Linked DNA regions of Bombyx mori. The protein of the gene in region 2 purifies or fractionates together with the protein of the main gene of each other region. This does not show direct contact. Links are inferred from orthologs where the notes say so. Each region holds a gene or a part of one and is shown on either strand. Other genes may lie near its edges.

Region 1 (4,294 bases), on a different chromosome or scaffold from region 2:
AAGTTGTGTTTCGGTTAGATCCGGATAGCTGGAATCAGCGTAGTCAAGAATTGGAAGAAGTAAAGACTGTGCAAGCGCAGTTTTAGTGGCAGTTGGAAGAAAATTTCGTAACCGTCTCAACGATCCAGCTGATGCAAACACCTTCCGGCTAACCTCTTTTATTTGTGCGTTCCATGAAAGGTTTTTATCAATTAAGATACCCAAATTTTTCACAGTATCGCTGATAGGAATTTGTGCGCCGTCAAATAAAATAGCCGGAAGCTGCGACCATGTAACTTTCGAACACATTCTTGAACTACCGACAACAATGACCTGTGTCTTTGACGGGTTCACCCTCAATCCATGAGACTTACTCCAACGGGACAATATCGATAAGTCATTGTTCAGGATCTTTATCGCGTTGGTCAGCTCTGGTAAAGAAGATTGCGTATATATCTGTAGATCATCTGCGTACAGGTGGTAGGAAGAAGTAAGTTGTAAAGAAATAGAATTTATAAAAATTTAAAAGAGTAAAGGAGATAAAACGCCACCCTGCGGTACACCTACGTGCGTTTCACACCATGAAGAATAAGCATTCTCACAGTGAATACGCTGTCGGCGACCAGACAGGTAACTGCGAAACCAATCAACCACGGTTGGAGATATGTTAATGGAGCTAAGGATGGCTAGAAGTATGTCGAAATCGACGGTGCCAAAAGCATTACTGAAATCCAGCAATGCCAACACCGTCAGTTTCCCACTCTCCATGCCAAATCTGATGGCATCCGTAATATGCACCAGGGCTGTGACCGTGCTATGGCCAGGACGAAAGCCGGACTGATAAGGGTTTAAAAGCTCGTTTCTCGTAAGAAACTCACTGAGCTGGTTGTGAATCAGGCGTTCTAAAACCTTTGAAAGAAACGGTAGAATGGAAATTGGACGGTATTCTGAAAAGGATGTAGGATTCGGCTTTTTTGGCAGTGGTGTAATCTGTGCTTCTTTCCAAGCCTTTGGAAAGATGCCGCTAGATAATGATTCATTCAGGATATGACAAATAATGGGAAGGATTTGGTCTAGGATAGGAAGGATCATATTACGGGCCACACAGTCACTTCCAACAGCATTGGAAGTTATGGATAATATGCTCCGCTTAACATCACAAGCCGTTAGGTGATTAAAAACAAATGGAGAACAATTTGGGATCGGAAGAGATAAAATGTGATTTAATGTATTAGATTTAATTGTCCCGTCATAAAGGGATGACGCACAGAAATGTTGATTTAATAAATCAATACTCGAATGTGATAGATGAAAGTCATGTTGTAATTTTCCAATCCCCAGTGATTTAAGAAATTTCCAGACTCTAGCTGGATCACCATTTTCGATAGCACTATGGATATGCTGGCGTTGTGCATCCCTACACACTCTGTTGCAGTGATTGCGGATTCGGTGATAATTTGTACTATTGTCAGAGGTTGGTTTTTTTTTATATTTTAATTTAGCAGCTGCCTTCCTGGTCAATAGACTTTTAATTTCATCAGTAAGCCACGGCGCTGGCATATGTTTAATTCTTACTGGTCGGAAGGGTGCGTACTTGTCATATAGATCAGTTAGCTTGGCATTGAACTGATCAACTTTCTCATTGATTGAGGTAGAGCACGTCAAAGCAGTCCAGTCAATGCTGCCAGCATCTTCTCGAAGACTTTCAAGATCCATACCATTAAAACTGCGCAGCAGAAGAGTTTTTGATTTTGCTTTGGGAGGTCGTACTTTATATGAAACGAAGATAAGATCATGGTATGAGAAAGCGTCAGCTGAACACTGTCCATGGTCAGCCACGTGGTCACGAGAAGAAACGAAAATAAGATCAAGAAGTGAAGGAGCACAGTTTGGAAAATGATGAGTCGAGTTCAACGGTAGAACAGTTAAGTTTACTGATTCGATCATCGAGCGAAATAAAGTGGTTCGAGAATTGTTTTTAAGTAGGCATGTGTTAAAGTCACCCATGATAATGGTATGAGTATATGAAGGCATTGTATTTTCTAGCAGAGTTTCAAAAGAAGTAAAGAAATCTATACTTGACGAAGGACAATAATAAACACCAAGTAACATCTTCGTGTGTTGAAGTTCTATTTCAAGAAATAAGTGCTCGCCCGCATATGGCGGCGTAGGCTGTGCCGATACATTAACAACTGCACAATTAAAATACGAACGGATATAAATGGCAACGCCACCACCACCGCCATTAATACGATCGTTCCTAAAAAGTTGAAAACCAGGAATGGTATAAGATGTAGAAGGAAGACATGGCTTAAGCCAAGACTCTGAAACAAGTATAGCATGGATATTCTTAGAATCAAAACTTGCAAGCATGTCAGGGAAATGAGCCGCAATACTCTGGGCATTGATATGAACGACATTAAAATTCCTAGGAACACCTAGGAACACCAGATTTAGCTACGTAGGATCTACGTTAAACAATTAGTAAAGACAAACTTACACTCTTATTTGTCTTATTGCGCCATATTTGCCGAAGATATCATACATTTCTTCAGCGGATATTTTGTAGGGCAAGTTCCTGATGTATAGGATTCTGTTGACTTCTGGAGGTAATCGTACCTGAAATATACTTAACATGTAACTTTCCAATATTTACTGTGATCTACCTAACCAAACATTTGTCAAAGCGTTGTCTTCAATTAACTTTTCAATACTTACATTTGCTCTTCTTTGAAGTGCTAATGCCATTTTGGTGTGGATGAATTATTTTTACAGTTTGTTAAACATGAAAATAGATAGTTGTATGATTTTTTAGGTATGTTTATCAAACTCAAACATAAATGTAAATACCTACCTACTATGTTTATAAATTTTTTTAAAGGTTTTTGTGACCTGGTAACAAGGACCTTTAGGTCATGTCTTATTTTAATATATATTCCATATTTTTTATGAAAAATGAAAATATGAACTGAAATGAAATGAAGTTGATTAATATGAAACATGGCATGAAATGAAGTGGACTGGAACGAGATGAGATGATAAGGTATGAAATATAATTGTGGCGGGTAGCCATCATACAACGCAAGATAATTGACAGATGCCTGAATCTCGCTTACGACATTTTCAAGATAAAGCGCATATATACAAGTTCCGAACAACAACATTCGGACCGTCGGTCTACCGAGCAATATCACCCGCTCGGTGGAAGATCTTCCCTTTGTCGTATATCTCTACAAACTGGTGACCCCGACGTGATCGGTCTACCGAGCAATATCACCCGCTCGGTGGAAGATCTTCCTTTCGTCGTTTAAGCTTCCTACAACTGGTGACCTGCGACGGAACAATCGCAACCTTCTCATTCATCATCAGCGCATCAAGAACTTCGGTTACCACAATCCCCGCATTCTCGCAGATAAAAGCAAGTCATCTACAGTCGTCCCACAGCAAGCCAGCATCGCAGCCTCAACAGGACCATCGCAGCCGACTCACCACGCTTCCTGGCCCTACGGCACGCACCTACACTGCCTCATCGCGCAGCATTTTCAAGCTCAGTCTCGACTCACCGCAGACTTCGAGCAGCACTGGCGACAATCACGCAGCATTCAAGCTCAGTTTCGACTCACCGCAAACTTCGAGCAGCACTGGCACTTGCAAGCTAATCTCAGCACGGACAACGATAACTAAATATGACACGATCTCCAGTCTCGGAGGGGAGTGATGTGGCGGGTAGCCATCATACAACGCAAGATAATTGATCGATGCCTGAATCTCGCTTACGATATTTTCAAGATAAAGCGCATATATACAAGTTCCGAACAACAACATTCGAACCGTCGGTCTACCGATCAATATCACCCGCTCGGTGGAAGATCTTCCCTTTGTCGTATATCTCTACATAATCTCAGTAAAATGGTGGTCATTTACTGAGACTTTTTCAGTGGATTTTTTGGAAGATCCCGAGAAGTTACCTTCAGCGGCTTTATTTGATTTTTCCACATTTGTGCACTTTCACAGATACTAAACAGTAAATAAACCACCCTTATTACGCATGTAAGCCTGAAGAAACACTAATAGAAAAAATAAAACAAATCACACAAGTTTACTCCTCGCGCTCCCGCCAAAAAGTCATACTTATATTTTATTAAGAGATTTTATGACCTGGTAACTAAGACCTTTAAGTCATGTCTTATTTTAATTTTATTTTTTATTTTTATGAACAATGTTAATATGGAATGAAATGATATTAAATGAAATGAGATGATATGGGGTGAAATATAATCTCAGTAAAATGGTGGTCATTTACTGAGATTTTTTC
Region 2 (4,212 bases):
GTGGATCAGGAATGTTTTCATCGTCTGACTGTTCATCCTCTTCCACGTCATACTCCGTACTGATCACTGGAGCTGGCGGTGCTTCCATGTCTTTTTGCACATCTGTATAGGGGCAAAACATCATTATAAGGTACTGTTTAATGTGCTATTTTTTTTATTGCTTAGATGGGTGCACGATCTCACAGCCGACCTAGTGTTAAGTGGTTACTAGAGCCCATAGACATCTACAACGTAAATGCGCCACCCACCTTGAGATATAAGTTCTAAGGTCTCACGTATAGTTACAACAGCTGCCCCACCCTTCAAACCGAAACGCATTACTGCTTCACAGCAGAAATAGGCAGGGTGGTGGTACCTACCCATGCGAACTCACAAGAGGTCCTACCACCACCAACAAGGTAAGTGTGCTATTTTATATACAAAATATATAACTTTATAACTGACCCTTTTTTACAAAATAGAACTCAAAGTAAAGTGCTTGTTTGCCAATGTAGTTACCTCAATTTTTTTCAGAATGTCTATAGGATTTTTGAAAGAAATATGTAGGGAACATTTTGGATCTTAAAAGAGCAACATATACTGGTAGTAGAGTGTGCTGTGAGCATGCACGAGTGTGTACCATCACCTTGCCTATTTCTGCCATGAAGCAGTAATGTGTTTCGGTTTGAAGGGTGGGGCAGCTGTTCTACTATGAAATTTAGACTTACAATTCATGTCTGATGTTGGGTAGTGGCTTTTATGTGTTGATGTCTATGGGCTAGTATTTTCTGCAGATGTTGCATGATATAGGTATATTTAAAGCTACAGCTACAGTTTTACAGTTTACATCAGTGACCAGAAAAACTGTAGTTGTTCAAAACATTGGAAGCAATAAAATCACAATTAAAATATGAAATTAAACCATAAAAATTTTCAGTGTGATAAAAAAAAAATTTATTAAATATGGAAGTAATTTAGATTGCCGTGATAGATATATAGAGATACTGGATAAAAGAATAAAGGCTGGGCTATTTTCATTTAGGCTAAGAAACATAAACTTAGTTAAGATGGATGTTTAAGTTTACAATCATCATAATTAGTAATAATGTGCTCAGACTTTTAGAAATTCCAAATAGTTATGAATTTGTAGTCATCTCCTAGTAAAAATGAAACTTAAAATCGATTACAGACATTGACTTGGCTATTGACAATGATTAACTATAAAAATAACATAGAAATGATTAAGAAGAGAGTATCAGTATGTTTTGTATTTCATTTTATTATTCGTTTTTTGTTTCATTATCAATAATAAGTCCATTGAAAAAGAATACATTTTTAAGAAAAATTCTGAAACACCTAAGTGAATTTAAATCGGGATGGCAGTTCTAACATACAATTGAGCCTTCAACCATATATAATGGTGTGGTGGCTTTCATGTTGTGATGCCAACGGGCTCCATTGATAGTTTAATAATGTGTGGGCCATGGCTTGTTCACCAATCTATAAAATAAAAAAGTTACCTGTTTCTTTATCTTCTTCACTACCAAGAGCTGCTTGTCTTTGGTCTTTGTAAGCAAGAGCTTCTTCCAGAGCCTTTGGGAGTACTACACCTCCAGCATTTCCCTGTTTATTTTTAAATTCTTCTGGTGTTTCAATCTTCATGGTCAAGAGTGATGGCAGAGAAGAATGTTGGTCAGAGGATAAATCTTCTTCCCCATCTTCTTCTTCTTCTTCTTCATCATCATCATCTTGATCATTCCATCCTGGCGGACCATCACTTTGCATTCCCCACCCAGGCCCAGGGGGGCCAGGTGGACCAGGTGGGCCTGGTGGTCCATCCCATGGTCCCATAGGTGGTCTCATCCCAGGTGGTCCCATGTCCATATTTTGATTATTATAATTATTCTTATTACGCATCATATTTGGTGGCATTCGGGGTGGACCCATTCCTGGAGGTCCCATTCCGGGAGGACCCATTCCGGGAGGTCCCATACCGGGTGGACCCATACCAGGAGGTCCCATACCCGGGGGGCCCATTGGAGGTGGACCCATTCCAGGCGGCCCCATTGGCGGTGGTCCCATTCCCGGAGGCATCATTCCTGGTGGAGGTGGACCTATTCCCGGCGGCATGTTTGGAGGTCCACCAGACGAGCTAACAGGTGGTGGTCCAGGCGGACCCATTGGTGGAGGCCCCATGGATCCCGGTGGCGGTCCCATAGCTCCTGGTGGCGGTCCCATAGTTCCTGGTGGTGGTCCCATAGTTCCTGGTGGCGGTCCCATAGTTCCTGGTGGCGGTCCCATAGTTCCTGGTGGCGGTCCAATGGACCCCGGTGGCGGTCCCATAGATCCCGGTGGTGGCGGCATCGGAGGAAAGTTTGGCATCCCCGGTGGAGGCCCCACCGAAGCATTGTTATTCGTAGATCCGGTCCCTGGTGGACCATCCATAGCTAATTCACAGTACTGCTACTGAATTCACTGTATAAAATAGACTTTTAACTACAAAGGTATGATTTAGTTCGTGATTATTAAGATCTATTCATTTATAAATTTACAGTAAAAAACAAAACTGATTTGTTTGAGGTTAACGCGCTTGACAATAAGTGTCAACATACCACAGAGACTGTCTTGTCTATGGTATAATGTGGAATCTATGTGCTTAATTATAGATAATACTTACTGTTGTTTAAGTCGTCACTTTTTCGGTTCTTTTTTGGCCTTTGGTTTTAGTAAAACTTTGTGAAGGTCAATTTGACAATCGTCTTCTGTTAGAACTATCGATTTAACCAAAAAAAGGTTTCCAAGTAGATAGTTTCCGAATAAACAGTACTAAAACATATCGAACAAACCTCCCTTGAATTATATTTTCTCTTAATGCTTAAGGACGAACGAGCTAACGGCCCACGTAATGCTAAGTGCTTAAAGAAGCTCATAGACTTCAACAACGTAAATGCCGCCTTCCACCTTGGGATATGAGTTTTTACATTTTTTACAATACAACGGCTGCACCACCCATCAAACCGAAACAAATTGCGTCACGGCAGAAATAGGCATGGTGAGCCCGCATACACCTGCGCGGACCGACAAGACCCTTCCAGCCCTAGCACCAGTTAGTACCACCAGGAAGTAAATAATTATACTATTACAGATCGTACAAATTGCGTGCGCACACTGAATAGTTTTTTCTTTGCAAATAGGCACTATCCCTGTGATAGCACTTTCATTGAGCCCTCTTTGGCATGTGATGAGGAGAAGATATTTTCTAGAGAGAATATATCTTCTAGATCGAGGTTATAAGTAAGTAACTACTTAAATCACTTTTAACTCAAAAGGTTTATGACCGTAAACCAAGTTTAATGCATTGAATGGTAAAAATTATTTAAAAAAACTAGACCGTATAAGAATTATTGTAAAAATCCCATCACCTTCGGATTGCTCATTAAATTTTTTTTTGGTGACCTATTGCTAGTAACCACAAGCGGCTATGTTAGTTTCGCCGAACTTGTATGCGAGTTCACGTGGCCTAGCCTAGGAGACTTTGCGAGCATCAGCCCTAGCAAGAGCAGTGCTTCGCTGAATCTACCATCGAATCGGAATTGCGATTCACGCCGTTGATCCGCTTCGACAATGTTGGCACATCAAAGAGCTTCTTTTTATCTTTGCAGTAAAGTTGAAATTGAGTAATATTCACCGTAGTATATTTAAAATTTGCAGAAGCTTTTGAGCCTTATGTAGAATCTAATAATAAGATTCCATTTTTTGTTAAATTTATTGATTTAAATAAGTTGAATAAATCTAGTAATGTCTATCTCGTTCTGACGCTTTTACCAGAATGAACAGCGTACATAACAGCACTTTTGTTGTATAAATTTAAAGCTGCCGTCGAAAAATTTAAACAATTAACAAAGTAGTCTTAATTAAGACGTCGATTTTTATCATTTTTTATCTGATTTACATTGTTGACACTATAGTCACGTTTCATTCGTTACAGCTTATTTCGGAAATAAAAAGCTAGTAAACCAAGAAGAGGGCCTCAAAAAAATTAACGGATTGAATCGGATAAAATGCGCCATGGGAACTAAATAAGGGATTTCGGATTTTATGACCTGGTAACTGAGACCTTTAAGTCACATCTTATTTTAATTTATATTCATATTTTTATGAAAAATGATATTATGGAATGAAATGAAATGAAGATGATTAATTTGAGACATTAATCAACTGGGATGAAATGAG
Region 3 (3,502 bases), on a different chromosome or scaffold from region 2:
CTGTAGTTGCAAAAATGTCGCTTAAACCAAATAGCCCCCTTCACCCCTCGATATAATAGTTTTCTCATTCAATACCATAACTTTAAAATATTTGCTTGACCACCTAATTCATTGTGTAATTATATAGTGTTACTGACTAGTACTATATAATACTACTAGCTGGCAAATGTTGTTTTACCATATAAATTATTTCTAGGAAAGATAAATAACCTAGATACCGACTGCAGCGCCCTCTGCTGGGTTGATTTGTGAATCTAAACCATCCAGGGTGCCACCCAAATGCATACAAACACAATCATTCAAATCAGCACAGCCGTTAAGGAGGAGTTCAGTGACACACACACGCACATAAGAAATATATATATATAAAGATATAATATAGTCCAGGTATGTGTAATTCCCGGATAGTCAAAAGATATTTGATTAGAAATTACTTAGTTATGTTTGGTTGTTTCCCAGACCCATGACGAAGGAGAAAATGGTAGTGTAGGGCCATTAAATGTGTAATACCAATGCATTTATTAATAATTACATAATGTCTTAATGTAAGTACACACTAGAAACATAGTTTTCAAAATATGACAGACAACATTCACACAGTACAATCACTCTCATTACATACATGAATATTGCTAACATATTGTCTGTAGTTTTACAGAGCACATGGTAGTCAAAAATATCTTTATTGACAATTTAGTAGAAAAATAAAAAATAAAAATGAATCTTAATAATTTAAATGCAAAAACTAAATGTATTTTTCAAGTATTTTCTTTCTAGTTGGAAAATGAAAACTAATCTGCATTGAATAAACAAAGGATAAAAAAAATTGTAAAAAAATAACAGATATCATCGATAACAACAATCCAATTGTATAAATGAATGAATTTAAAAAAATATATGTGAATTTCTCTTGGACCCGAGCTGCAACTCTTTAGACATTGAAAACCATACTTGATCATAATAGCCGTTGGCTTTAAAAAGTCAACAACAAAGTAGTTGATAAAAACAAACTTGTATTTCAATCAAACTTTAGTTGAGAAAAACCTCTGTTTTTATTATTTTAAATAACAGAAACTTTGCAGAAATTAATATTTAAAAACTAAAAAGAAACCTAATGCTAGTGTCTCCTAAACCCATATTTCTTTCTCTCGTAGAACAGATCTGTTTTAGAGCTTCCCAAATTGACAATCTTTGGACAGCCATCTCTCTGTGAAAAATAACAATTTTATTAGCATAATAATATGTATTATTATTATTATTATTATTGTTATCAGCGCACAGACGTCCACTGCCATCGTCCATCGGTCCATCTTGTGGGAGGCCTACCCACGCTACGTCTTCCGATACGCGGTCGCCACTCAAGAACTTTCTGGCCCCAATGGCCATCTGTTCTACGAGCAATGTGTCCTGCCCAATGCCACTTCAATGCCACAATCCTTTTGGCTATACATTTTATTAGGCTTGGCTTAATGTACATGATATTGGGGACGCACACAATCATTATCAGGTCACTTGATCAAGTCAGGTTGACTAGTTTCTTGTGAGTTTTTAAACTATCAAAATATAACGATGTTTTTTGATTTGAGGAAATTTAAATTAATGATTTCGATGCGATTATTTGAGTTCAAAAATTACAAAATTAAAACTTACATCCTTCTCCTGTATCGTGCACTCCTTACAATAATAAGCATCAGATACTCCAGGCCCGCCGCAAATCACACATCGCCCCTGATACGAGCCATAGTTGCACTCGTCACAAATACGAACCAACGTGCACGGACGCACATAAGAATCGCAAATCACACATTTTCCGTCACATTTCTCACATAAACGTCCAATAGCTGGAAAAATAAGAAATAGCATTAAAACAAGCGACACTAAACTTGGTTGTCTTCCATTTTTTAATACTACTAACCGACTCCGGGCTGTTTCCTGCAGAAAATTAAATCTGGATGATGCTTTGCCATGTTTTTAGTTAGGTCTGGTCTGCTGGCGAATGTTCTTTGATTGTTATTATCAAACTTGCCGTTTACTGTTTTTTTATCGAATAACCTACAAAGATTTTGACGATTTTGACCCGGTAATTTTGACAAGTGGCACCATAGATATATTTTTTTGTTACAATTTTTCCTTATTAGGAAAGGCAAAGGGATCTAAGCCCATACCGCCTCATTTGTTCTATATAATTTCTGATATAAATTTATAATAAAGCCAAAGCCAGGTCTTATAGGATTTAAATTATATGAGTCGACTATTATCAAAGCCGGCAATCTGACTTTTGGACAATGATTGGTAAATCAGAAAAAACGAATTATTGACTTTGTATTCCATTGGCAGTCACAAAACTCTTCGGAACGACATCTTAGATAAATAACAGGTTAACTATTAACCTTTATTTAATGCAGGTTTTGAACCGTATTCTTTGAAGGAGACGATTATATTCAAAACAATCTGTATTGACATATCAATAATTTTTTTTTGTCCAAATGCACAGATTGCCACCTTTGATAATAGACGACTCATATCCTGAAATAAAAATTTCATTAAGGCCGAAGCCATGTCCTATAATTTGGCACCATAGATAAGTAGTAGTAGTAGTTTCATTTTTCCAAATGGAAAGGCAAAGGTATCATAGCATACAGCCTAACCTTTTATATATTTTTTTTTATTTTATGAAATATGATACTATGAAATGAAGTGTATTAATTTATGAAACATGGCATAAAATGAAATGAGATGAGATGATATAATATGGGGTATTTTTATGGAAAACGATAATATGAAATGAAATGAAGATGATTAATTTGAGACAACAATCAACTGGGATGAAATTAAATGAAATGAGATGAGATGATATGGGATGAAATATAATCTCAGTAAAATGGTGGTCATTTACTGAGATTTTTTCAGTGGACTTTTTGGAGGATCCCGAGAAGTTACGTCCAGTGGCTTTGTTTCATTTTCCCACATTTGTGCACTGTCACAGATATTAAACAGTTAATAAACCACCGTTATTACACATTTAAACCTGAAGAAACACTAAATAGACAAAATAAAACAAATCACACAACTTCACTCCTCGCGTTCCCACCAAAAAGTCTAATTGCCGGTTTGCGATCGGTCTTAATTGTCAAGTATACTTTTGACAGTTTTACTTCTTTGGTGACACATACGTCACATATTATATGTGATAGATTCAGAAATCAGAAATCAGAAATCAGCATACCCCTAATTCAAACACATGCTTTCAATATTCGCGTCTTTTTTGTATTCCCCAAAACAATGATAATTTAGAGAAAATGACTGCAGACAAGGAAAGCTATGGAGACGAAACCAACCAGGATAGTGAGGTGGAACAAACTCCAACCGAAAATGTCAACGAAGATACTGAAGATGATAAAATAACATTTAAGGATTTGGTAAGTTTTTACATTAAACTGTGTTTGTAATACTAAGTAAATACTGTAATATAATTTTATTGATTTTAATATCAAATGGTGCC
Region 4 (3,500 bases), on a different chromosome or scaffold from region 2:
TATCAAGCCAGTACTTTTGTGTAGTTGTATTGTCCATTGTGTCCCTGTGGATTAATACAATTTAAGTAATAAAAAAAATGCTTCTACACTATGTGTATTCTAATAAAATATCACACCAAGAAAACTGTAGGCTTGTATTCTATTTATTCATTCAATTCTACTCAATACAAATAACTTTAATTTGTAAAATATGTTTACATTATTCTATAAAAAATTTCAATGAAATATCATAGCTATAGTTTCATTAAACATCAAAATTCATTGAATATTTACTTTGTATCGGCTAATAAGGATGGTCGGGACACGTTCCACTTGTAGGCTGAGAACAGTAATATATCGGCGCATGATGAATTCATCTTATAAGATTTACGAGGATGAATGGTTTCTTTCTGTACCGTCTCAATTTCTAAGGCGTCAAGTTCTTGATCGAATACCTGTGATAAAATAGTTGTTACGACTATGTTTAGGGAACGAAACCTAAAGTATTAAGAGAGATAGAAATCGTAGCCATTGTGTCGTCGTGACAGTACTTATGCTGAGCACTGGGACTAACTGAGAGTACAAATCCGACAGGAAGTTATATTTCTAGTGAAGTACTTATTGAACATGTGTTCACCAACATAATGCAAACGTTAGTAAACATCTTAAAATAAAAATTAAATCCACAAAATATGCTTTTCAGGGCGTAGTGTTAGCTCGCACGTGTAAGTATCACTTGCTTCTTACTATTGTAAAGCAATCAGGTTTTTTTTTTTTTTTTTTTTTTTTTATTGCTCTTGTAGGCAGACGAGCATACGGCCCACCTGATGGTGAGTGGTTACCGTCGCCCATGGACTTCAGCAATGCCAGGGGCAGAGCCAAGCCGCTGCCTACCAGTTCAATGATGTTGACAATCGTTAACAAAACTTAGGGCTTCACATGATGTCTCAAAATGGATAGGCACTTTAACTTTATATGTGTATAGGAAACGGTAACCACTTAATACCAGTTCGGCTGTGAGCTCACTTGCCAATGTATGCAATAAACAAAAAAAAACACTATAAATGAACTCTAGATATATAATACCAAATATGCATGCAACAGTGCCCTATCTATTTGTTATACTTTTTAAATTATAATAAAACTATTTTACCTGACAAAGATCCATAACAATCGACTCGTGTACTTTCTGCCACAAGTGAGCTCTGAAGATTTGGATGAGTGAAATCTTCAATGTCGGAATCTTACCGTGCATGAATATACCAGTAAGATCCAGTTGTACCTGAAAGAAAATTAATTTATCACATTATCATATCCATGCATTAAAACTTGAATATCTCATAACATACACTATTATGTTGTTTAAATCGTCTTTAGCATTTATAGATAAATAAGTAAGATGCCAAGAGAGAAATTTTATTCAGAGTCGAAATGGGAATAAATTACTGCCCATTAATATATTTTAAGGTGACAGGACTCGTGAAATAAGCAACCAAATCTCAATAAATCTAACCATAGCTAATCATAAAAGTACTTTTCAATTTATTAAGGCCATATTTGTAAACTTAAAATCATAAAATCTCACGAGAAGGTAATGTATAGGCAATGTGAAGATCTTACTTGAAAACCGACGTAGACGTTCGCTCTGTTGATTGTAGGCGACCACCATAATGTGAATCGACGGTTCGGGATCTGATTCAACCCGGATCGTTGGGCGTTTGTCAACTTTTTGTACTTCATCGACTCTTCGAAACCAGACGCCTTTTCCCTAAGTAAATGAGTTTTATTTATTACAAAAGCGCACTTATTGCAAACATTATAATTGTTTTTTTTTTTTTTTTATGTCACTTAAAAATAGCCTCCGATTATTGTACATAGCCTAGAAACAGGTCACAACCGGTCATCGAGCCCAAGTTAGGATTCCCTGTGTTATGGGTACCAGATACTATATTTCCATCATCATTTATAATCAGTAAATTCTCAACCATTTTGGATTATAAGTAAATTTATTATGTCTTATGTCATACCAGAACAAACCCTCCCAAGTCGGGAAGTAAGTTCCCTTGAACAATGTATGCTCGAGGATACCCTCAACTCCTCCCAATGCTTGTATCATATCTGTGCGATAGTTGTTCAAGTTCCACAGTTTGCCGTCGTGACGCTGGTGAGTCCACCAGAATGGATTCTGCTTTAGGACCTGTTTTGAAAACATTTGTTTCAATTAATTCACATTTTCTATTAAATAATTTAATTTATACACAAATATATAGATATATGAATAAATTGTTGTGTGCAATTAATCTTACCTGATACTGTTTGAATTCCGTACGTATACGCCATCCCTTATCGTAAGCGAGTGTATGCCTGTCTTTTTGGAAAAGTGTGTTGATCCTCGGGATACCCCTGTCCCAAGAATCTTCCAAATCTTCTAGAGTCAATCGTCTGTAGTACAAATATGATTTATAAAATACCTTCTTTCAAATCAAATATTCAACTTGATTAGTTTTATTTAGATCAGTTAGCGTATTTTCAGACAGACAGTGCTACAGTACATTGCGATCAGCAAGTCTATAGTCACGGTCTGCCCCCAGAGCACAGGGACTCTCTGGTTTCAGGACCCCTACGCAGTTCATCACTTGTTCTTAAATTTAAATATTTATCATTTCAATTCTCCAACCAAAATATGATTAAATTGGGATTATAGAGTAAGTAATATTTGTATGTATTTTTACAATTTACACAGACTTAGATCAGTTAAGTTATTGTTAAATCAAATCAAAATCAATCAAAAATGTTGTTAGAGTACTGGCTATCATGGACATTAGAATAACTCAAAATTACCTATTCTGAGCATTAGCTTCCTGTCTCTTAAGTGCGTATTCAGCCCAGACTCGCTGGGAGTCTACAAACTCAGCTTCCCAAGGTTGTATGTAGCGGTACAAGTTCGGAATTAGTTGATCTTCATCATGTGACATTCCAGAACGGAAATGCGTTATGCCGACGTCTGTTTGTTTTGACCAACGTAGGTCAGACTAAAAAAAAACGCAAGTTATCAAACGATTATGAAGAATCTTGATACAATTCATCAACAAATATTGCTGTTTTGTAAATTAAATTTTAAAATAAAATCTCACCTGCGGGATCAAAACATGTCCCATAGACAACATTCCTAAACCTCCAAGTTCTTTGGGTGTGTAAAACACGACCGGAGGGAATCTCGAAGGCATTTTCGAGTTAAGGCCAATCTTGATACGAGTTTGAATCTTATTCTCGCATTTCACGAGTAAGTCGAGGAGTTCTTGTGTGTTAACAACGGCCTCGCGGAAGTATGTCATTAGACCTATAAATAATGTCTTAATTTATGCAAAGTTCTACATTGATGAAATAATATAAATTCGTTTTTTTTTAAACGTTATAAGTACTGTTTGCAATACGAATATCAGCAGTTATTTACAATATTTAATTGTGATGGTGTTCACTCTGCTCTTTCCAAAGCAGAGTTATTCTACATCAAATACTAT
Region 5 (4,109 bases), on a different chromosome or scaffold from region 2:
GATGATGGTAATGGTCAAGATTATGATAACGAAAAAAAAATTACAAATACCAGCTTCGCTTCAACTGAACGAAGACCTGGCAACAGCTCTAGTTTTGACTTAATAGAAGGAATATCTATTTTACCCCAATTATTAACCTATATTTTTTGTTGATGTTCTAATAAATATATAAATAAATACATATGTTGATTTTAATAATTTAATTGCATTATGACGCAGAGTAAATAATGTTTTTGCACGTGAGTGTACCATGCGCAAACTTACCCCCACTACGTCAACAAATGCTCAAGAAGTTTGCCGGCTATTATACCTATCATAATTTCACTTAGTCATTCATAATGGTGTATGTTTGAATAGCTATTGGTGATACATAAAGTAATGTACTCAATGCGACTCATGAGGATTTGATTCCGATACACATGATTTATCTTTAAATTCATTTGAATTAAATGTAGTTTTATTAAATTAAACAGCACTACGCAATACATACTTTCATGGTCATAACATATACGGCATGTTTTTTTTTCTCTGGATCATCTTCAGGAATGGTTTCTATTAAGCGGTTTTCCTTTTTCAGCTTTTTCCGTTTCTGTTCTATCTGAAATTATAAATAAGCAGTGTAAATACAATTTTATAAGTACAAATCAGTGTTTAACTTATGTTGATTGGTCATTGTTGTGAAATGATATGTAACATAATTTTGGTTTTCGATTCCCATCATGAAGTGAGATTAATATTTTTAAGCCTAGCCTTGAATTTTTTAATTCAAATAATTACAACAAAATGATACCTTGTTTCATGATAATATAAAAGTACAAAAATTTTAAGTTAAAATTTTATAAATAATTTCATTTATAATCATTTAACTAGATTCGCTTGGCAAGTAGGTGACCTCACGGGGCTCTAACCTGGCGAATTTGCTAACACTAGCCCTAGCAAGAACAGGGCTTCAAAGAATCTACCACCGGAATGAAAATGCGACAGTGACTGGTGCTTGAGGTACCTAAAGGCAGTGATATTGGATTGAGAGGATCTGAAACTACGGGCTTCATAGGTACTGTAATCGGATTTTAACATTGGCAAAGACAATATTTCTATTTGATCACCTTTATCAGGTAATTAGATAAAGCAAATCACTCACCATATGATCTGTTCGTTCCTTAGCCTCTTCATAGATGTCCAGACATTTTTTTCTTGTGTCATCATTTTCTAATGTTTTCCAAGCTCGATTCACTATTTCAAAAGCTTGTTGAGCACGCTCAGAGTCATCCTGCAATTTAAAATTCCGTAATTTTGTTACTGCTAGAATTGTTTGGTATTTGGTTATTATTTACTATTTTTAATGTTTATTTGATTAATGTTAAAAATATATTTAACCAATTTTACTTGCGAATTCAGTGAGAGATTTTTTGATATTTTTTTTTGACTAATGAAAGTGTTTAATTAATTTATAGTATAAATCGGTGAACAAGCTTTTAGCTTGCAGATGTGACTGAGTGAGTTACAGATGTTGCTACGCACCTTGAGCTTTTTGTCTCAATTGTATAATAATTACAAAAATTACAATCTTTTCAAGGTTCATTTTTATTTCATGCTCAAATTGAATAATTCATTAAGGAAGTTATTCAAAAACATGTGTCAAATGCATGTTTTATTCCAAAAATTGGTAACTGTCTGCAGAATTTAATTACAAGTATAATCATAATATGTTGCGATATTTATAGTTTTGAAGTACACAGAAAAATATTGAGATGCTATAATAGCCTGTCGCTCTGTATGTTTTATTCAATTTTCTCAGGCAAATTAAAACAATACACTAAATAATAGAGTAAATTGAGATAATATAACTTAATCAGGTCGTTTTGTCTCTATTACACTATTTTTATTTTAACCCTTTTGCATTCCATACATTACCTATGTAGTGGAGTCACAGGGCGTTCCCAGGGTCTCAACCAATCTGTGGATGAAAATGAATAGTTGACGGGCGTAACCGCCTAATCTTGTGGAGATCTTACCAAAAAACATTCATCATTTCAAAAATTCTAATAATGCAATACTAAGAAAAATTTAAAAAAGTCTTGAGTACCAATGTAATTTCAGAACTTCACTGTGGGTTTTCAAATTATAGACTACCAACTAATCTTGGTTATTGAAATGTTTTCTCACCATATTCTTATCCGGATGGACAAGAATTGACAATCTCCTATATTTCTTTTTGATTTCATCAAGTGTAGCATCAGGCTCAACCTGAAGTACCTCAAATGGGTTTAAATTGAAATAAGTGGATCCAGGACGAAGGAGCCTCTCAATCTGTTGTTTAGGTGTCAAAACGGAGTCACGTTTTTCAATTTCTTTAACCTATGAACAACAGAAATTCACGAAACATCATTGAGAATTTGTCAAATGCTTGATTAAAATGTTTTTGTTTTTTTTTCGATTATTAATTATGCATGACAATTTATAAACATGATTTAGAGTAAGCATGAAGGTATGAGAAACAAATTGTATCTGTTTTGTTTGTTATTCAAACTCTCTACATGTACCAATCGTGTACCATGTTCTTTCGTTCAGCATGTCACAACAGCTTTATCAGTTTTAATAAAAGTATTGTATAATTTAAAATGTAACATTTGGTGATTCCATCGTTGTAATTTGAACATGGCTTACCTCTGTGTAAAATTCGTCAAAAGAATCTCCCCTGTTTGTCGATGTCGTCGAAGTCATTGTTAAATGTGAATTGGAGGGTAACGAGATTACTAAATTAAATTAATTCATTTAATTCCAATTAATATTGCAGTAAATATTCACATGCTACTTTTTTGCATTTTAATGAATTGAAATTGAACGAAATGTGAATGAAATTATGTTGAGCTTGACAAATAGTGACAAGCGTGTAACAATAAGTTGGTTTTTTATAAGGGATTTTATGACCTGGTAACTAAGATTTTTAAGTCATGTCTTATCATAATTTATATTCTAATTTTTATGAAAAATGATATTATGGAGTGAAACGAAATGAAGACGATTAATTTGAGACATTAATCAACTGGGATGCAATTAAATAAAATGAGATGTGATGATATGGGATGACATATAATCTCAGTAAAATGGTGGTCACTTACTGAAATTTTTTGAGTACACTTTTCGGCGGATCCCGAGAAGTTACGTTCAGCGGCTTTTTTTCATTTTCTCACATTTGTGCAGTTTCACAGATGTCACACATTTAAAACTAAAGTAACATTATTAGACAAAACTATTAGATAAATTATTAGATAAAACAAATCACTTAACTTCACTCCTCGCGTTCCCGCCAAAAAGTTTATGTTACTTTAGCAGAGCAGCTTAACATAGATTATAGCTTACACGGACGAGCCGATATTTTGTAGAGCCGGTTACTGACACTAGACAACAGCAGTTCCGGATTTTCTTGGCGCAAATCTTACCGATTTGTTAAACTTTGTGATTACACATACACTGATTTTCCATATTGAAAAGAGGGCTTCTTGGCTTCATTCTTCTTCTTTTTCTTTAGTTTTTGGCTACGGCACGGTTTGTGCATTAGCCAGCGTCAAGTAATAAGATTTTTATAATTCGCCGTTTTAATTATTTCCAGTTTTTGAATAATAAAAAACGAAGGAAACATAATCAATTGGCATGAAATTAAACGAAATGAGATGTTATGGGACGAAATATAATCTCAGTAAAATGGTGGTCATTTATTGAAACTTTTTCAGTGGACTTTTTGGAGGATCCCGAGAAGTTACGTTCAGCGGCTTTGTTTAATTTTCCCACATTTGTGCACTTTCACAGATACTAAACAGTTAATAAACCACCTTTATTACACATTGAAACCCGAAAAAACACTAAATAGACAAAATGAAACAAATCACACTATTTCACTCCTCGCGTTCCCGCCAAAAAGTCGTCTTGACTTCATTATTCATTCAGTATACATGACAGGTTAAATAGCACAGGTGGCACATTATCCTGTCAATTTACTGGACGACCTGGACGGTCTGAGGGATGCGTGAATGGGTGTTGTATGCGATACGTGATGTACATTATTGAAAGGTATGTACCTACCTACTGTTTTACGATTTTACTTATAT
Region 6 (3,061 bases), on a different chromosome or scaffold from region 2:
TGTGTGTTACATATTTATGGTTTCATGCATTTCAAGTTTCCAATCTTGATGGATAGTGTCGTACACTTGTAACCAAGCCAACAATTATATTATGGCCTACTAGAAATTCAATATTAAATTTAAATTTAATTTGTTAATTGATGATCTTTGTATCCGTAGATTCGTATATACATTTGGTTCTGTGATATAAATTATCAATCTAACTGTAAATATCAATTATAATCGAGATATATTGTACTACGAATTATGTCATTTGTAAATAATAGTATATTGTAATACATACATGTAAAGATAAATGTGACCAGTTTTTTCTTCCATACTAAAACTACAGAGTAACCTCGCAAAAAATATACATACCTTACCATCGAAAGAAGATTGATGTTGGTAAATTTCCGCAATGTCAATAATCTAAAGTATGGAGTTCTTATATCCATTATATAAATAGTATATAAACTAAATCTTTAACATTCTAATGGATTTAACTACATTGAAACAAAAAATACTACTTATTTATGATTTATTCTGACCTTATTGTGTAGATATAATCGTTGTTTTTTTTTTAAATTATAGTGTGACTAATGATCTAATGCGAAAATAAACACGCACACTGGTAAACATGTGTTGTCGAACCATTAAAAATGAGGTTTAAAAAACTATAATGGAAACCTGATATTTATTACATATTTTTGTTATAATCCTACTACCTATTATTCCAGTGTTTATTATTGTTACTCATCTTCTAATAGAAACGTTGTCATTAACTATACTACAGATAGTCTTGATCCACTGTTTAGTTTTTACTATTAATTCATCAGCACTAAATATCAGATACGTCGATACAGAGGTAAAACTTTTAACTGCAGCTTCAAATGTATGAGAAACAATTTTGCGGACAAACGATAATATCTTCCTTAACTTAGTGCGTCATTACTCCATTTTAATATTTACAAGAACATTTTTATGCAGTCGTTTTTTGAGAATTAACATTTTCGGAAACTTGACTTTTCTTCCCTTTCTGCATGTTTTCTACCTCGGTCTGTAGTTCTGAGTATCGCTTTTGCAAAAGCTTCTCGCGTTCAGTCTGTCGGCTGACGTCTTCGGTCAACGATTCTATTCTACGTGGAATGGCCGCTTTCTCCTGTTCAGCCAAGAATTTAAAGGTCGATAATTCTAAATTAGCTTGTTCTATTTGATCTTGTAATTCTTGAAACTGTTTTATGAGAGCTGCGGCACGACTCTGGTAACCTCCTGTTAGCACACGAAGTTTCTTTTCCATTTTTGAACATTTTTTTGCTTCCTTCGCCATGTGATTTCTATTCTGCTCTAATCTTTTCTCAGCAGATTCTAAACGATCCTTCTTGCTTGCCAAATTAGCACGCGTGTAACGATGTTGACCGGGTAGAAAAAGTACCTATAGGAAAATGTGTGTAATTACTGTAATGTGCTAATTGATTGATTTCTTTAATCCTACGATTCAGTTAGTAAAAAGGATTATTGGAAAATTATATATAGATTTAACATTATAAGCATTTTGATCTCGGCCACTTCTGTACCACCACTTCACATTATATTTAGTATAATAAGTATTATTACATTATATTTGCAAGCCAGATTTTGTTTCTTTTTATTTGTGTATTTATGTGTCTTTAGCTTGTGATGTGTATTGTGAGCCTAATAAAATAAATAAATAAATAGTAACATAACACTTCCAAAGAATAGGTGCTTTGATTTAGTCAGCCACTAAAAAAAATTGGTAGCATTGAAATATTGTGCGAAAAGGGTAAAAAAAATAATACTATGATTCTCATACCTGTGCTAAACATTCCTCCCAGACTTGAGTGTACGCGTCTATACTAAGGTCCCCATGACTCATTCCCGCTTTCACGACTTCCATTTCTTTCTTCAGTGCTTCTTTAGCGGCAGCTAATTCTTCGTCAGCAAACTCTTCATATGGATGCTGTTCTAAGTATGCTAAATGGGATGCTTGTAGTTGAATAGCACGCTTTTTATCTACACCTGAAAAATATAATTCTATTAATATTTGAATGTCTTTACACTCTTAAGGTGAATTTTGATTCCTGTATTCCGATACCTTTGTTAGGTTACGCGATGCTACAGAATTACCGCATATTAAAATTTAAATGCTTATGTATTCACGAAATCGAATTATTAATCGTATCCGTAGTAATGGCCTCAATCAGTTCATGCCACATAGGGTAATAAATGGGCTTCATTTTCAGAGCTTACCGAAACTAACTTGATTTTTTGATTGTGTCACTCTGTCTTTGTAAAATACTGATGTTAACAAGGTATGTTGAGAGCACGGTTCATACTGTAGCAACAAAATTCAAAACGTTGAGCAAATTTATATTTGTAAAAGCTACGGCCACCAGACTGGTGATGGCGGTACAATAGCTGGTCAGTAACCACCAACGAGGCAATCAAGTATTTATTTATTGCTTAGATGGGTGAACGAGCTCAGCTGGTGTTAAGTGGTTACTGGAGCCCATAGACATCTACAACGTAAATGCGCCACCCACCTTGAGATATAAACTAAGGTCTCAAGTATAGTTACAGCGACTGCCTCACCCTTCAAAGTGAAACGCATTACTGCTTCACGGCAGAAATAAGCAGGGCGGTGGCACCTATCCGCGCGGACTCACAAGAGGTCCTACCACCAGTGAAATGTTTGAATGTGTGAAATAAGAAACCTTCAGGCGGGTCCCTGAGGGCATCGTAGTGCAGCATGGTGACCATCTCGGCTTTGAGCAGTTCCTCGGCGTGCTGCAGCGGCGTGAGGGCGGACAGCGAGGCGGCACCGCGCAGCACCGACACGTTGACGTCGGCCGGACGCGCCGCGCCGCGCTGCACCGCCAGCGAGCGACGCGACAGCTCGGCAGCGCCTGCCGATAATCAAACCGAGTTGGTCGTAGCGACTTTTAAGTTCAATGAAGTTCAAACGACGAGTACATTTCATATGTGGCTTATAAGTAAAAATCCTCGCAAAAAAAACTTTCCAAAGGTATAGGCGATGGGTTCGTTAATAATTCTTACAAGAGCA
Region 7 (2,568 bases), on a different chromosome or scaffold from region 2:
CGTCTCATTTAACGGTTTTATTCCACGCACTTTTTTCCACGGATTTTTTCTTACGGTTTTACTATCACATTTTTTTCAGTTCGGTCGCGCAGCAAAATCCCTATCCCCTCCAAGCCTGCCGCAAGGAACTTCGTTCCAAAAATAAGCAGTAAAATTTCGGTTACTCCTTTATAATGTGTGTTTATAGTGCATAATGTAATTTACTAAACAATTTCAAACAAAAATGTATTTATCGTGTTGTAGAAGTACCGTGTTATAAAGAAGGTTTGGAGAATTACTGAATCGTGTTGTAAAATACTGTGTTATAGGAGGATTGATTACCTCTAATGTAATTATGTATTTATCGTGTTGTAGAAGTACCGTGTTATAAAGAAGGTTTGGAGAATTACTGAATCGTGTTGTAAAATACTGTGTTATAGGAGGATTGATTACCTCTAATGTAATTAATTATATTTCGGTCTTTTATTGAGGTTTATAAAAAAAAGCAATAAAACATCAGCTCTTCAATCATACATTTAATCATTCTTATTACGATCTAATATTTACATGTCAAACGCGATGGAACGTTCAAAAGCTGAGGACGATATGGGAGCATCATCAGGCACTCACGACGAACGAACATAATTCTATATTTATCTCGGGTACACTAGTCACCAAAACCATGCAATATAGTAATGATAATATAGAATGTCTTTGTTACTTGCTAGTACTATATGCCTAGTGTGAAAGTGTATTTTTTTCCATGAAAGATCATGTTTGAAGCTTCGTTTTTTTTAATTAAATCATCATTGCATTTATTTATGATTCTATTATAAACATGTTAATGTTGAATTAGTTTTCCCTACTGATCACTGATCACTTTATCCATATAATATATAAATCCATGTAAATAAATTGCAACGGCATTCTATTCATACCCATTTTCACTTACGGAACAGTTTACCAATAATCTGTCTCATTTTAATTTCCTTTATACAGGCTGAATGGTTGAACACTTCACATATTTATTATTCACATATTATATATTCATTAAGCAAAAAAAAAATAGGTTCCTAATATTTGTCTAATTTATCTTTAATTATCTACTCGAAACAATAAGCGTGGTCACTCGCGCGAAGTACAGAATTGGCCGGTCATGCGGCAAGGTAGGAAGGTACCTATGTACTGGTTTGTTTACACCGGTCGATGATCGCGGTATCGTTTGAACGCGGCGCGCTGATTAGATGCAACCCTGTTCTTACCCCCGGGCGGCGCTTCACCCCCGCCCTGCGGCACACCCATTCAGTGACGAAACAAAACACGCGCGGGCGCCGGTCTTTTCGCAAACGATATTTGATACGGTGTCCACAAATTTCAAGTTTTAGCAAATTCGTTTAATGAAGGTTTTCTTTGTATTTCATTTGTATATTTTTAATTTTATATTTTTAAACGTTACACGTGACCATGAATTATCATGTCCTTGAGTATGTAAAGTGTTCAACCAGTCAATCTGTATAAAAATATGCAATGAAAATGTTTGCAGTAGCACAGGATAAGTTATCAATAGTCCATCCGTTGGTCACACCAAGTGGGGTGGTGTTGCTAGACCGACTGTCAGTACTTGTACTTGGCGTGTTTGGTGTGATGCTTGCGGTGCGAGGGGGGCGTGGCCGGCGAACGACGTCGCCTATCCCTGTCTCGCTCTCTCTCGTGGTCGCGGCTCCTCTCTCGATCTCTGTCCTTCTCGCGAGACTTAGACCTGGATCGGGAACGGCGATCACTGCAATCAAATAATAATTAAAGCGTTTTATTTTCCGTGTACGTGTATCCGCGACGAAATGCGATATTTTCCGTAATCTGCGTCTGAAGCTTTACGCATCCCAAGATGCTGGCTCTCAAAAGTTTGAGAAGACTCCAACTCTCAACGTTAATATAAATTTGTTAATTTGTTCAAACACATGGCGCTTAACATGTAGTTCACCAATATATTCATTGTGAACCCCATGGAATTTTGTTTAATTAGTCTAGCAGGGAAACAAAAAATGCTGTTAACTTCCTATTCAGTGTCAGGTGTATTAACTAACCTGTGACGCGACCGTTTCGGCGGCGGCGATAACGTAGGCTCTCTGGACTTCTTTGATTTCTTAGATGAAGTTCTGAAAAGGCAAATGTCAAAATTATAGGCTCTTGCATGACACACAGTTTGGTGAGTCGAAATGTCAATATAAAAATTATATTAAACCACTTTTTCGTACAATATTAAAACATATATATTTTTTCTTTAAATATTGTATATTTAATATGATATTAATTAAATATATTGCAAATATTATGTAGTACTAATATTGGACGTTACTTTAATTTCCTTTTCAATAAACTGTAAATGATTTCATTTAGAACATATAATAATCGTAAACAAATGAAACACGGTCGGTCATTTAGCCCTAAACTATAAGATATTGAGAATGAATCTATATGTGAGAGATCTAAAAAAATAAATCATACATTAAAAACAAAAGAAGGCAAAGTTAATCCTGGCGCATTAGTAACAGCAATTGACATAATTATTTTAGTGCACCGCGTAGGGCA

Evidence for each region.
Region 1: the proteins of splicing factor 3B subunit 2 (region 2) and 14 kDa subunit splicing factor 3b fractionate together in Homo sapiens (co-fractionation; 5 studies listed by BioGRID and IntAct, with this or other methods). This does not show direct contact. The link is inferred for Bombyx mori from reciprocal best matches to the Homo sapiens genes SF3B2 and SF3B6.
Region 3: the proteins of splicing factor 3B subunit 2 (region 2) and Phf5a purify together in Homo sapiens (affinity purification with mass spectrometry; 4 studies listed by BioGRID and IntAct, with this or other methods). This does not show direct contact. The link is inferred for Bombyx mori from reciprocal best matches to the Homo sapiens genes SF3B2 and PHF5A.
Region 4: the proteins of splicing factor 3B subunit 2 (region 2) and pre-mRNA-processing-splicing factor 8 purify together in Homo sapiens (affinity purification with mass spectrometry; 3 studies listed by BioGRID and IntAct, with this or other methods). This does not show direct contact. The link is inferred for Bombyx mori from reciprocal best matches to the Homo sapiens genes SF3B2 and PRPF8.
Region 5: the proteins of splicing factor 3B subunit 2 (region 2) and DnaJ-21 purify together in Homo sapiens (affinity purification with mass spectrometry; 3 studies listed by BioGRID and IntAct, with this or other methods). This does not show direct contact. The link is inferred for Bombyx mori from reciprocal best matches to the Homo sapiens genes SF3B2 and DNAJC8.
Region 6: the proteins of splicing factor 3B subunit 2 (region 2) and cell division cycle 5-like protein purify together in Homo sapiens (affinity purification with mass spectrometry; 3 studies listed by BioGRID and IntAct, with this or other methods). This does not show direct contact. The link is inferred for Bombyx mori from reciprocal best matches to the Homo sapiens genes SF3B2 and CDC5L.
Region 7: the proteins of splicing factor 3B subunit 2 (region 2) and U2 snRNP-associated SURP motif-containing protein purify together in Homo sapiens (affinity purification with mass spectrometry; 3 studies listed by BioGRID and IntAct, with this or other methods). This does not show direct contact. The link is inferred for Bombyx mori from reciprocal best matches to the Homo sapiens genes SF3B2 and U2SURP.

The regions. Positions count from the first base shown.
Region 1 is NC_085111.1:9,667,854-9,672,147, forward strand, and holds the start of 14 kDa subunit splicing factor 3b, read right to left. Parts: upstream 2,801-4,294; 5' UTR 2,728-2,800; coding exon 2,698-2,727; intron 2,599-2,697; coding exon 2,480-2,598; intron 1-2,479.
Region 2 is NC_085131.1:3,902,031-3,906,242, reverse strand, and holds the start of splicing factor 3B subunit 2, read right to left. Parts: upstream 2,801-4,212; 5' UTR 2,425-2,800; coding exon 1,500-2,424; intron 103-1,499; coding exon 1-102. UniProt on the Homo sapiens protein: Component of the 17S U2 SnRNP complex of the spliceosome, a large ribonucleoprotein complex that removes introns from transcribed pre-mRNAs.
Region 3 is NC_085114.1:14,383,839-14,387,340, forward strand, and holds Phf5a (PHD-finger 5A), read right to left. Parts: upstream 2,023-3,502; 5' UTR 1,968-2,022; coding exon 1,916-1,967; intron 1,842-1,915; coding exon 1,651-1,841; intron 1,208-1,650; coding exon 1,118-1,207; 3' UTR 501-1,117; downstream 1-500. Other genes in the region: ATP-dependent RNA helicase DDX47, read left to right, coding at 3,300-3,419.
Region 4 is NC_085114.1:12,599,545-12,603,044, reverse strand, and holds part of pre-mRNA-processing-splicing factor 8, read right to left. Parts: intron 3,320-3,500; coding exon 3,114-3,319; intron 3,012-3,113; coding exon 2,821-3,011; intron 2,422-2,820; coding exon 2,286-2,421; intron 2,177-2,285; coding exon 2,007-2,176; intron 1,748-2,006; coding exon 1,600-1,747; intron 1,262-1,599; coding exon 1,133-1,261; intron 435-1,132; coding exon 274-434; intron 45-273; coding exon 1-44. UniProt on the Homo sapiens protein: Plays a role in pre-mRNA splicing as core component of precatalytic, catalytic and postcatalytic spliceosomal complexes, both of the predominant U2-type spliceosome and the minor U12-type spliceosome.
Region 5 is NC_085115.1:4,913,982-4,918,090, reverse strand, and holds the start of DnaJ-21 (uncharacterized protein LOC101735997), read right to left. Parts: upstream 2,801-4,109; 5' UTR 2,725-2,800; coding exon 2,668-2,724; intron 2,359-2,667; coding exon 2,167-2,358; intron 1,271-2,166; coding exon 1,142-1,270; intron 599-1,141; coding exon 491-598; intron 1-490. UniProt on the Homo sapiens protein: Suppresses polyglutamine (polyQ) aggregation of ATXN3 in neuronal cells.
Region 6 is NC_085115.1:11,723,283-11,726,343, reverse strand, and holds the end of cell division cycle 5-like protein, read right to left. Parts: intron 2,904-3,061; coding exon 2,712-2,903; intron 2,017-2,711; coding exon 1,811-2,016; intron 1,611-1,810; exon of another isoform or gene 1,412-1,610; coding exon 959-1,411; 3' UTR 501-958; downstream 1-500.
Region 7 is NC_085111.1:15,847,100-15,849,667, forward strand, and holds the end of U2 snRNP-associated SURP motif-containing protein, read right to left. Parts: intron 2,136-2,568; coding exon 2,064-2,135; intron 1,760-2,063; coding exon 1,594-1,759; 3' UTR 501-1,593; downstream 1-500.